3 linked regions of the Cricetulus griseus genome follow. The protein of the gene in region 1 purifies or fractionates together with the protein of each later gene. This does not show direct contact. Links are inferred from orthologs where the notes say so. Each region holds a gene or a part of one and is shown in the gene's direction. Other genes may lie near its edges.

What was found. Proteins that work in one complex are often made in the same cells at the same time.
Region 2: the proteins of Usp11 (region 1) and Eif4b purify together in Homo sapiens (affinity purification with western blotting; 3 studies listed by BioGRID, with this or other methods). This does not show direct contact. The link is inferred for Cricetulus griseus from reciprocal best matches to the Homo sapiens genes USP11 and EIF4B.
Region 3: the proteins of Usp11 (region 1) and transcription elongation factor A protein-like 4 purify together in Homo sapiens (affinity purification with mass spectrometry; 3 studies listed by BioGRID, with this or other methods). This does not show direct contact. The link is inferred for Cricetulus griseus from reciprocal best matches to the Homo sapiens genes USP11 and TCEAL4.

What each region holds. Positions count from the first base shown.
Region 1 is NC_048604.1:125,510,994-125,515,304, forward strand, and holds the start of Usp11 (ubiquitin carboxyl-terminal hydrolase 11), read left to right. Parts: upstream 1-1,460; 5' UTR 1,461-1,517; coding exon 1,518-1,669; intron 1,670-4,311.
Region 2 is NC_048595.1:398,468,347-398,472,506, forward strand, and holds the start of Eif4b (eukaryotic translation initiation factor 4B), read left to right. Parts: upstream 1-1,324; 5' UTR 1,325-1,457; coding exon 1,458-1,470; intron 1,471-4,160. UniProt on the Homo sapiens protein: Required for the binding of mRNA to ribosomes. Functions in close association with EIF4-F and EIF4-A. Binds near the 5'-terminal cap of mRNA in presence of EIF-4F and ATP.
Region 3 is NC_048604.1:43,940,614-43,944,272, forward strand, and holds transcription elongation factor A protein-like 4, read left to right. Parts: upstream 1-1,160; 5' UTR 1,161-1,313; intron 1,314-2,117; exon of another isoform or gene 2,118-2,300; 5' UTR 2,301-2,323; coding exon 2,324-2,893; 3' UTR 2,894-3,123; downstream 3,124-3,659. UniProt on the Homo sapiens protein: May be involved in transcriptional regulation.

The sequences.
Region 1 (4,311 bases):
CTGGCACATTCAGTGGCTCTTAAATGTTTGACTTAAGATTTCATTTATATAAGATTGAGGACACTCAAAGAACTTTTGCTTATTCCAAAGTACCTTCTGGGTAATTTCACTATATATGTGTGAAAACGAGAGTGAAGATACTGCAGAAATAGTTTTGACTTTGTGAAACCCCCAAGAGGGATTCTTGAGCTGATAGCCTGTGACCACAGTTTGAGGATCTGTTTGGTGTTTAAGGTCACAGCTCTGTAACTAGGTCTGCATTGCTACAGCACATCCTAGTTGAGAACAAATGATTTGACATTTCTGGATCTCAGCTAACCCCATTGTTAATCATGGGCCAAAAAATACAGTACCTGCCACCCAAGGCATTTAAGTTCAAGTCACTTAAACTGGCAGAGTGACTATTTGTTATGCCTCCAACAAACACATGGTTTAGGGCTGACTTCATCAGATTTGTCTGGTGAGTAACTCTAGTTCCGGAAGCTCAGTGTTGAACAGTATGCTTACAATCCACACTTTGGAGACTGAGACAGTTGGGTCAAGGCAAATCAGATGCCAGCCTGAGCTCCACAGAGTTGGAGGCAATTTGGGGCAGTTTAGCAAAAGTCCTGTTCTCAAAGACAGACACACACACCCTAGTTACGAAAGGCAACCCTGTGAGGCTCTCAGGAGGTGGTAAACTTTCTGTATTTGAGTTAAAAAAAAAAAAAACAGAGACAGGCAGTGGAGGCACAGGACTTTGATCCCAGCACTCAGCAGGAGAATCTCTATGATTTCGAGGCCACCCTGGTCTAGAGAGCAAGTTCGAGGACAGCCAGGGATACACAGAGAAGCCCTGTCTTGGAAAAACAAAAAACCCTAACAAAAACAAAATACCCAACTATTTTACTTTATGTGTATGAATGTTTCCCCTGTATGCATGTATGTGCACCTTGTGCATTCCTGCTGATCCCCTGGAACTGGTGTTTTGGATGGTTGTGAGCACTGTGGGTACTGGTAATTGAATCCCCATCTTTTGCCAGTGCAACAAGTGCCCTTCATTGCTGAGCCATCTCTCCAGTCGCTACATTTGTTTTTGATGGACAAGAGGGTAGTGCAATGAAAGGTAATTCTAGTTAGGCTAACAAAAATGGTGCTTTCACAGTGTGTGGGGGGGTGCAGTCCTCAACAGAGCAAGGGGCAGGGAGATTTGCCATAAGCTCTTTTTGTAAGGCCCAAAACACACATCTTTGCTCATGTGGAAAACCTTTAGCCTCCACCTTCCATAAGACCTTTTGACCTAGTGTTAGAATTCCATAAGCACTAGTTCCAAACTGGAGGGTTAACCCCTGGTATTGGTTACACAGATCACAGCCCACCACCCAGTTTCCGCCTAATAGTGACGTTTCCAAGATGGCAGTGGCCCCCTGATTGTTGGGGGGCTCTGCTTCCGTTTCCGGGACAAAATCCGGAAGTGCCAGTTGAGGGTCCTCTTCCTATCTTCAGTTGCGTCGGCAGTTGGAGGAGAACGGACGGAGATGGCGGCGGTCGCAGCGGACCCAGCTGCAGCTGCCATCCCGGCCTCCGCCGAGGAGAAAGAGACACAGCGCGAGGCAATGCCAGACCTGGACGAGCAGTGGCGCCAAGTCGAGAATGGGCGAGAGCGTCCACTGCGAGCTGGCGAAAGCTGGTGAGGCTGGGCTTCAATGAAGCCTTGGCCCAGGGGACTGCGGGGGCGTTAGTATCCGCGGGGTACTTAGAAGCCAAATTCCGAGGAAGAAGAGGTGCGAGGCGGGGAAGGGGCTTGGTGGACGGGTAGGAGATGGGGGGCGTGGAGGTGCTAGTGAATGAATCGCAGCATTTGGGGAAGAGGCGGGGCAGTTAGCCGCCCGAGGACAAAATGGGGCTTGTTTGTGGCAGAGGCAGGGCGTGAGAGAAATGGCCTCGGAGGTAGGGACTGCATCTTCTGGGGAGGGGGTGAGAGGGGACTGCGTCTGGGAACCTGGAGCCTGCAAAGGAGGCTGGCTCTGTCCTTAACGCGGGGGCGTGGCGTGTGTTACGAAACATTGCGTCGGTTGCGAGGAACAGCCTACGAGTACTTGGAGCGCCTGTGAAGCCGAGGAGCTTGGTGGCGTCAGCTGAAGAGCAACTCCGTAGCCTATAGCAGTGGGCCGAGGGGCGGAGGGCGTGGTGGGATGGGGAGGGTGCCTGGCTCCTGGGAACGAGGCGAAGGTCTGAGGTGAGGCAAATGTGGAGGAGGGGCGGTGCCGAGGGCAGAAAATGGCGCCTGCGAAAGAGCAAAGATTGTGACGCGATAGTTTTTGTTTGTTTTTTAGATTTATTATAGCCAAGGTCTCCTTCCTAGGACAGGAGAAAGTGCAGATTACAAAGGAAGGTTCTTTGAGAAGAAAATTTTTTCTATTCAATAATATTTTGTAATCAGTAGAAAATGGTGTTTAAAAAAGAACCCACAGCCTTGACAAATTGTCTTTACTGATATTTTTTAAAAAAGGCTAATCACTGCCCCAAAATTTACGGCTTCAGGGTTCGTATTTCACTCTGAGTTGCGTCTTGTTTTTTAAATTGTGAAATTCGTAAGACCTACAAAGATTATAGTATAAAACATTTTACATAAATTGATGGACTTCCTGATGAAAGAAATGGTTTGTATGCTTCAAAACGGCAAGGTCGTGAAAGACAGATGCTGAAGAACTGTTCCAGATTGAAGGAATTAATGTAGTTTAACAAGTCACAACTAAACGCAACATGTGATCCTCAGTTGGATCCTAGAACAAGGAAAAATAAATTATTTTTTAAAATCAGGGTTCTTTCTCATAATTTCTCTTTCACTGTAAATTTCATTGTAAAAAAACGGTGAAATTTGACTAGGGCCAGTAGATAAAATATTGCTACTGATGATTTCTTGTTTTTGATCATTGTAATATGGTAATGAAAGAATATCCCTTGTTTGGTGAAAAATACACACTGAAAATTTAGGGATAAGGAACCATCATGTAAGCAACTTATCAAATGATTGAAAAAACTAGCCTATGTAAAAATGCACGTGGAAGGGAGAGGATTATGGAAATTTCATCATAGGATGCAAAATTTAGTTAGACTAGGAATAAATTCAGGAGATCCATTGTACAAAATGGTGATAATAGTTAATAGAAATCTATTCTATACTTGAAAATTGCCTAATAGACTTTACATGTTCTTACCCAGAAAACTGTGACACAATTGATATGTTAAGTAGCTTGTTTTAGTGTTTTCAATGTGTATATCAAAACATCATGCTGTATACCACAAATGCACACATTTTTGTCTATTTTAAGATAAATAAAAATAACCCAAAAATGATATGGGGGAAAAATAAGAATAGAGCAAATGGATAAGGTATGCTAGATTTGGGGAATCTAAGGGCATACAGAGAAGTCTTTGTATTATTTTGTCCCTCTTTTTTGGACACAGAGTCTCTCTTCTACATAGCTCTGGCTGTCAGAGCTTGATCTCAGAAATCTGGCTGAGATTACAGGCATGTTCCACCGAGCCTGGCTTATTATATATTTTTAACTCATTTTCAATGAGTCTATTTAAAAGAAAAACAATTACCAAGTTTTATGTGCAGATTCCTCACCCATGGGAGATTCAGAACATTACCTTAAAAACTCCTGTGCTCCTGTCAGATGGAAATTCTCCTCCCTGCTTCATGAGGAACTGTTACCCTAAATTTTTAATTAAAGGGCTCTTTTCACATGTTTCATTATCATGATATGCTTTTCCACCATTCATATTTATAAACATATGTATCTATATACAGAGTGTGTTTATAAAACAGACTGGATGCATACTGTGAGCCCTTATATGACATGGTAAATGGTATCTGTATGATGTAATCTAAGACATTAACCTTGATCTGTTGGCTGTAGCTCTGTCTGCCAGGTTTCTCAAATGTTAAGATGTTGTTCTATTAAGCAATAATTCTTAAAATACTTATTTAAATAAGTATGCATATATCATGTCCATCTGTTCCTCAGGATGTCCAACAGCTTCCTGTCTCATGCAGCATAAATGATAAAATCCTGAGTGACCTGCAAGAATTTTGGAGGCTGGTACCCTACTTGCATTCTGTTTTTCTCCAGTCTCTCTGATTACCAGCCCATCAGCCCCTCCCTTTCAGGGCCATCCATAGTAGTCTGTTGCTGTTCTTTACATCTCCGAGCCTTTTCCAGGCTTTCCCACTTTACAGAGTTCCTAAATAACAGTGCCAATGAAATGTATATACATTATTGAGGAGATAAGTTACAATTCCAAGACTGGAGGATATAATGA
Region 2 (4,160 bases), on another chromosome or scaffold:
CCTTTGTATCCGGTTTTCTAAAGGTATTATGAAGACATTCCCCGGGGCCTACAGCTTTTTTGTTCCTGTTTTGTGGGAGGCTTACCTGTGTGTGTCCCCATCTATGTAGGTGTCCACACAGGTGTGGGTGATGCTCACCCCTGCAGTCTAGGGGACTCTTGCCAAGTATCCTGTCTCATATCCTTAAAACAATCCAGTGAGAACTGGACCTGGTGTTAAGCAGCTGGCCAGAAAGCCCCACAAATGTATTGTCTCTGCCTTCCACGATGCTAGGGTTATAGACTAACCCTCCTGTAGCCATGGACCAAAAAAATATGTGGATACAAGGTTCCAGGACTGAGGCCCCTATTTATGCATTATCAGCAAGCCCTCTTACTAAGCCAGCTCCCCAGCCCATTTGTTAATACATGGAAGGATTCACTCCGTATACCAAACTGGACTGGAACCCGTTATGTAGTCCAGAAAGGCCTGCAGCTCTCAACAACCCTCCTGCCTTAGCCTCAAGAGGCATGCACCACCATGCTCATTCTAAATGTCACTTCCTCAGAGACCTTCCCTAAGCAGAACATCTAGAGTTGCACTCAACCACCTTTTACTCTATTATCTTACTCACCTGTAGTGTTTATCATTTGGAATATTCTTACTTACCTGTTGTGTTTATCGTTTGTAATATTTTATTCAAGGTAGTTTTGTTCTGTTATATCCACAAACCTCTGTTAAACAGTGCCTGACACATGGTTGGTGCTCAAAGTTTTACTTAGTGAAATATAATAAAAATGGAGCATTGGCTGGAAGAAATGTGGCTAGCACTCGGCGCTGGACCTTGTCAGTAAATTGGAGGCTTAAATGAGGCTAAAGTTCACGGCCTTAGCATGTTCAAATGTTACTTTCTTTTTCCTTCTAAGCACGCTAAAAAGCACGCTTAATTGAAACCATAATACAGAACATCAGATTTGCTTTGCCTTTACAAAAAGCGACTTAAAACAAACTCCGAATCTTCTCTTTGTAAAAAACAAAAAAAAACAAAAAACAACAACAAAAAAAAAACAATTGTGGCACATCCATTCTAGATTCCAAGCCAGCTCGGTTCCATGGAATCAGAAAGTGCGGCCCCGCCCTTCGCGCCGACCCACCTCCCAGAAGTCTGTGCGTCAGGAGACCCCGCCCAGGGCGCACAGCCGACCTGACCGCCGCGCCGGGCCCAACGTAAAGCGTAGGGTTTCGCGACAGCTCAGACTCCACCCCTTCGGCCACATGTCGCGCAGGTCTTCCGGTCGGACGCCGCGCCACCTCGTCGCGCTGCTTTACGAACCTAGCACGGCAGCGCCCCGCCTCCTCCTGCCTCCGTCCTCCGTTCCCCGCCCCCTCCTGGTTTCGCGTCTCCAAGCCCGTCGCGCCCGCTATAATCACGTGATTGCCTCATCCGGGTCCTTTGCGTTCTCTCTCCCTCTCCCAACATGGCGGCCTCAGGTGAGTGAGCGGCCGAGCGTGGCCAAGGACCGGGCTCCGAAATAGCCTCCGGGCTTGATCCGCTCCTTGCTGGAGTTGGGGGGCAGGTGGCACCGGCTCCCTTCGGACCTGGGAGCTGCGGCAGGCTGGCGGCATAGCCGCTGCGGGCTGGTGCCTCGGAATGTTTAGGGGGAGGGGAAGGCCTCTCCCCTCCCCCTCACTCCCTTTTTACCCCCTTGCGCGCGGTTGGAGTAGGCAGTAATGGTGGGCTTCGGCTCCGGTCGGAGGAGGTAGCGCAGAAAGGTGTGCGGGAGTCCCGCGCGAGGCCCTTCTCCTAGGCGTGAGGCGCTGCGCCCGCGCCCAGGCGCGGAGGAAGGACGGAGGCGGTTGGCGCGCGGACTGGAGCGCATGAGACCCGGTCTCCAAGGCGCGAGGCCGTTGCGGACCCTCGTGGGGGCAGGGGTGGGGGGGCGGTTAGAACGCGAGCGCGAGTCCGTGGAGGGGCGGGGGGAAGCGGCGGTGCGCGTGCGCGGCGAGAGGCGAGGTGAAGAGGGTTCGCCTCGGAAGCGTGCGCTCGAGTCCAGATGGCAAGCTCCGATGGGCCCGGGTTTGGCTCCTTGGTGACCTTGTACTTTATGCTTTGGTAGGTTTGGGGTTGTGGAGTGTGACCCGGCCTCTGTCCTCCAAGGGAACGCACATTGGGTTTGGAGGTTGGTGCTGCGATGGTTGGGGGTAGGGAGCCTAGTGTGCGCCCACGTGTTAGGGCGGAGCTGTAGGGATGGACACCTATCTCCTATGTGGATTTTCTTCCCAACTCTTCATTCAACAGTTTGTACTATATGCCAGGCAGGGGTGGGGAACAAGAGCAGGTCGTTGCCTTACACAGCTTCCATTTTGCTTGACTTTTTGGTAGTTTTCAGTTGTCAGGATTCAGCTTGCTTTGGTCGTTTCCCTGGATAATTGGGAAACTTCCCAGAAGGTGCTATTAAAATAATAGCTAGAGGTTCTGTGGTTTTCTTTTTTAAAAATGGGGTGTGTGTGTCACTTCATTGCAAGTGGGTTTGGGGGGGGGAGCTGCTTTTTCTTTGTTTTTGTTTTACATTTTAAATGGACTTGTAAAAATGCCCTTTTAAACACCTAGCTTTAGTTTAGGAAATACGCTTTATTTTCTCTAACATGACCCTCTAGTCTGTAAAAAAAAAATACTTTTTGGATTGTTGCCTCCAAACAATTTTGAGATAGGGTCTCTATAGCTTTGACTGTCCTGGAGCTTGGTAGACCAGGTTGGCCTGGAACTCACAGAGATCCACTGCCTCCCAGGTTCTAGGATTAAAGGCAACATTCAGTCTCCCCACCCCCTTCAGGTCTGAGGTTTCTCTTTGTAGCCTTGGCTGTCCTGGAAACTCTTCAGAGACCAGCCTGCCTCTGCCTCTCAAGTGCTGGGATTAAAGTGTTAAGACACCACACCCAGCAACATTTAATTTATCAGAAATCCATCGTTTCTGTTCTTACAAGGGACCTAGGGCTATGATTGTCTTTGGGAAATGTTCGCTGAATTTAGATGGCATTTGTGCATAAGACTTTATTTCCCCCTCTTGCATTGTTGAACCTTAAACGCAGAACTTTTGGATACAGTAGGCACCATGCACACACACAGCCTTTTTTTGTTTTGTTTTTAAGATTGTGTTTTTGGGGGATTGGAAGCTCACTTAGACCAAGCTGGCCTTGAACTTAGATCCTCAAGTGCTGGGATTAAAGGCATGGACCAGCACATGTTTAGGCAAGCACTCTGGGTAAACTATAAATTCCCAACCCTGAACCAAGGATATACCAACAGCTTTTGTTACTGTAGCACTTAACTGAAGAAACCTGTGAGATAATGTAAAGAACTGGTGATTTCTCCCAGCTGAAGAAAAATTGCTTGCATGTAGCAGGGCAGGGTCAAAATCTTGGGGGACTCCAGGCTCTTGATCTCATTAAGATGGGAAATACTAAAGTGCCACGCTAAGTTGGAGTTGCTGTTGAAAACCATCATCTAAAACTTAAGAAACTGTTTTAAATGGTGGAAAATACTCAATGGCATAGGTGTACTACCTTGTCAGTTGAGTGTCTTAACTGAGTGAAAAGTCTAGATGTGTTTCCCCTTCGAAATTCTTAGTGGTGGACAACACCATAGCTTAACTGAGGACGTGGCTCCGATATACCAAGGCTGTCAAGTTTAGATCCCAGAATCCACATGGTGGAGGCCAGAGCAGACTCCTCCAAGTTATCCTCTTACCTGTGTCCTATCAAACAATAGTTAAGAGTAAGCCGAATCTTTGGTTTTACTCTGGTGTGCAATTCACAATTTAAAAGGTTTGCCTAGTAATGTCTCTTCCCCCTTTTCTCACCTATCTGTGTTACACTCCCAGGAAGACCCTCTCCCCCCCCCCCCTTTTTAAACTTAACTCGGGAAATGTAGCTTAGTGTGTTACCACAGCACATGTTTACCTATTACTTGGCCTTTGAAGAGTTTGGAATTGACCACACTTCTTTCTCCAATTACACTGACTTTGAGTGACCATTATACATACCCAGAGTTGGAAATGGGTTTTGGGTTCTCTGTGAAAATGCCAGATATAACTTAATCACTAATAGGTAAGACCAAACATTTGAGGCAATACCAGTTTCCATGTGACCCTCTGCTAACCTTCAGTATCTTAGTGTTTTGG
Region 3 (3,659 bases), about 82 Mb from region 1:
GGATGGAGGGAGCTTCAGAGAAAGAGTAAAGCCCACAGTGTTGGGGAAGCAAGAAGAGTTCCTGAAACCACACCCAGAAGAGAGAAGAAAAGTGGGCAGATTGAAAAGGCTGCAAGATTACAGCTCTGAAGGAGACTGCTGCAGGAGCAGGGCTTATGGGAAGGGAAGACACGTTGCCTCAAGAAAGGATCATCTTAGTCCCCTTTGTCTTTTAGAATGGCTTTATCCTACTGGTTTGCTGACCCAAGTGGATTAACTCTTAATCAGTGAGAGTGTGGCATGTCTACCACTAGATGGAAATTTAATTCTTTTGGAAGGGAGGCAATAACATTCCATTAAAGATGGTTCAAGGCCACTATAAGTGAACCATCCAAAGGCCTTTGTATGGGGGGCAGGAGGGGGGCAACCCACATAAGCACAAACACAGGCTCCTTGTTTACAACTTGATAAAGCAGGGGAGTCACACAACATTTGTGATTGCCAGAGAGGCAAGCTAGAAAGCTTTGTCATGGAGATCTGTTTAAAAGATGTAAGAGTTTAGGAAGTTCTTGAGAAGATCTAGCTGGGATCAGGCTACTGGAAGCTGGGCCCAGATGTCATAGACTAGAGGATATATTAAATGTGTTTAAAGGAAAGTGGGTTTCTCTTTCTGTCCTGGAGATTGGTGTGGAGGTGTGCTTGGTTACTCAAGCTGTGTGCTGAAATCATGGTTGATCTCAGTTCTGTCTTCATCCAGGGTCTGATCTTTGCACCCTTTATACTCACTTTCCCACTTAAAATAAAAGAGTCATTCTCTCGCTCAGCTCCAAATGTAAGTCCCTTTCCTTTTTCATTAGAAAATGCATGAAAGTCAGATGATAAAATTAGGAAGTGTTATTTGGTGAGACAAATTCCTATTTCTTTTTCTCAAAAGTGCAATATCCTACTGTCCACGCATTCAATTCCCAGTTCTAGGACTTGCTTCACTGATTCAGATCTTGCAATAGATTTGAAAGCAACATTGTCAAGATTCTTCCATCACACCACCCAGTACAACGGAAGAAAAAAAAAAGTGTGGCATTGAATAAAATTCTTTATAAAACCAACTTTCCAACAAGAGAAACAGACACGCCCTTAATGTGAGTGGTACCTGATTCGAGGAGTGGTGTGTGACTGGCTGAGTCTTGCTAGTAGGCAAGAGGGAAGGCTGGCGCTGGGTGGTGTCACGTGATTTGCCTGCTGGAGTGCCCCACCCTCGCTGCTCCCAAGGGCTCTGTCCCAGAGCCATCTCTCAATTCCCTGGGGCTCCTGGTTACTGTTGTTGCTTCTCTCAGGTCAGTGTGAGGTTTTGCGCCTAGAGGCTAGAGGCGAATGCTAAGGGGCGAGGCCAGCTGGGCGCTAGGAGGGAAAGGCAGGAGGTGGAGTTGGGACAAGGGAGGAGGGCTTGAGTGTAGACCACAAGGCAGTGGGAAAGGGAGGTTACTAGGGGGCTTGAGGCCGCCGGGCAGAAGGCAGAGAAGGCAGACACCCCCAAGTATCCCCGTCTGCCTGCTACACCCCACTCCAGTATCCTGGCTGCCTTCGCTGCCCCTTCTCTGCTCCCTTTTGGAGTCCCAGTACTGGACCGGGGCTGGGAGGAGCCCTCTAAGGGAGGGCTTGGAAAGAAGGAAAGGGAGGAAAAAAGACAGAAAAGCAACCTTCTGCCATTACTGACCCCAAAGCCGCTAAGCGGCAAGGTGGGCTCTTGAGTTCCAGCCAGGACAGGGAGACTCACAGACCCCCAAATAGCTAGAAGACCGTCCTCCCTGGAGCTCAAGGCTTGAAAAGAAATGGCGGCTGGGGAGCAGGGAGGAATGGAGGAGGACAAGTCCTGAATCCAGGACAGTTTTCCAGCCACAGCTTTTCACTGAGTGCATAGACCCTCCCCCCTGTGCCCTGTCTGCATATCTGAGACTGCCACTGCCTCCTTCCTCGGACACCTGGAAAGGAGGGACGACCTGCTCTCAGTCACTGCGATATGGACAGGGACACAGGCAGATTTGGGTCTCTACCGCGCACCCCCACCGTATTCCACAGTGTTTGCCACAGTGAAAGAGCACAGACAGAGAAGGCGGCAGGACCTGCCGGGATGTGCTTACCTCAACTGTGAGGGAAGGGTGCAGGCAGAAGGCACACTTGGAGGGCAGACAGGCTGAGTTAGAGAACCATTCTCAAGGGCACGATGCAAAGACTAGATGAACGTGCCTTCCGCCCCTGCTCCTCAGTCTCCGTGTCTTCTCTATTTCCTCTTTCCCCCACCCCACCCCCACCTCTACCTCCAGGACAGAAAAAGAACAATCCGGACATGGAAGAACTCTCGAGGGAGAAGGAAGCAGTGCCTTCGAAGCAAGCACAAGTGGAAAACGGTAAAGAGCCACAGGAGGAAGGACAGTCAGAAGTAGCCTTTTCTCCGGAAGAGGAAGAAAGGTCAGAAAGCCAGGCAAAGGCAGGAGATGAGGGGATGCTGCCAAGGCGCCAAGAGCAGCCGGAGCCCGAGAGAAGGGCAAAACAGGAAGGAAGGCCAGAGACACAGGGAAACCCAGAATTTAGTAAAGGGAACCCTGCTGGAAAGCGCCCGGCTGAGGACCCCCTGCCCAGAAAAGCCAAAAGAAAAACCAACAAGGGGCTGGCCCACTGCCTCAAGGAGTATAAGGAGGCCATCCACGATATGCACTTCAGCAATGAGGACATGATTAGGGAATTTGACAACATGGCCAGGGTAAAGGAGGATGAGAGAAAGAACAAGCAGAAGATGGGACACATCTTCTGGATGCAAAGAAGTTTGCAGGACCCCTTCCACCCAAGGGGCCCAAGGGAATTCAGGGGTGGCTGCAGGGCCCCTCGAAGGGACATCGAAGACATCCCTTATGTTTAGTTCCCTGGTCAGCACTTGCTGCTGCTTCGATTTAGGCTGCATCCTGTTTGACCCTGCCGTGTTCTGATCCCAGTGCAGTAGATTTTCCTTCACCGCATGGAAAAAATATTCAGAGTGCATTGTCAAATCAAAGTACATAAGCCACAGAACCCTCTATTTGGCACCAGCCCACTTTTGTGAAAATGCAACACATAGTAATCTACATGGAGAAAACAAGTATTTGAGAATTACTTGTGTCGTTCTTTATTGTTCTCTCAATAGTTTGTTGTCTCCTAAGATGGCTGCTCCTTCTGGGCATAAGATACAGGAGAGGGGAACTAGTCATAAGCAATCAGAGCTCTGTGCTGGGGCGGGGGTGGAGTCATTGCATTTTTTTTTTCTGGGTGTAACATGGGAGGTAACATTTGTATTACTCCTGGGGCTCCATGGTGGAAGACACAATCTGTCCTTTACTGCTGTAAGGCTGAGCCCTGCTGCCTGTGAAATGGGGATAAATCTTACCCATAGAGTGAACTTTTGCCATCCATATCTGTGCCTAGGATATGTGCTGTGCAGTCATATTCATATGAAGAGACAATAGTGCTGTCTCACTATAAGGATTTTTCCTACATTCAATTAGACACTCATGGGAAGAACTTGAAGCTGGGCTCTGCTAAAAATCTGCTCAGAGAAAGGTTCCAGCTGCCTTTCCGCCCTGGGGATGGAGAACTATGTGGCTAGATTTACTTAGCTTTGTTGCAATGAGTATCAACTTATAATCCTTTTC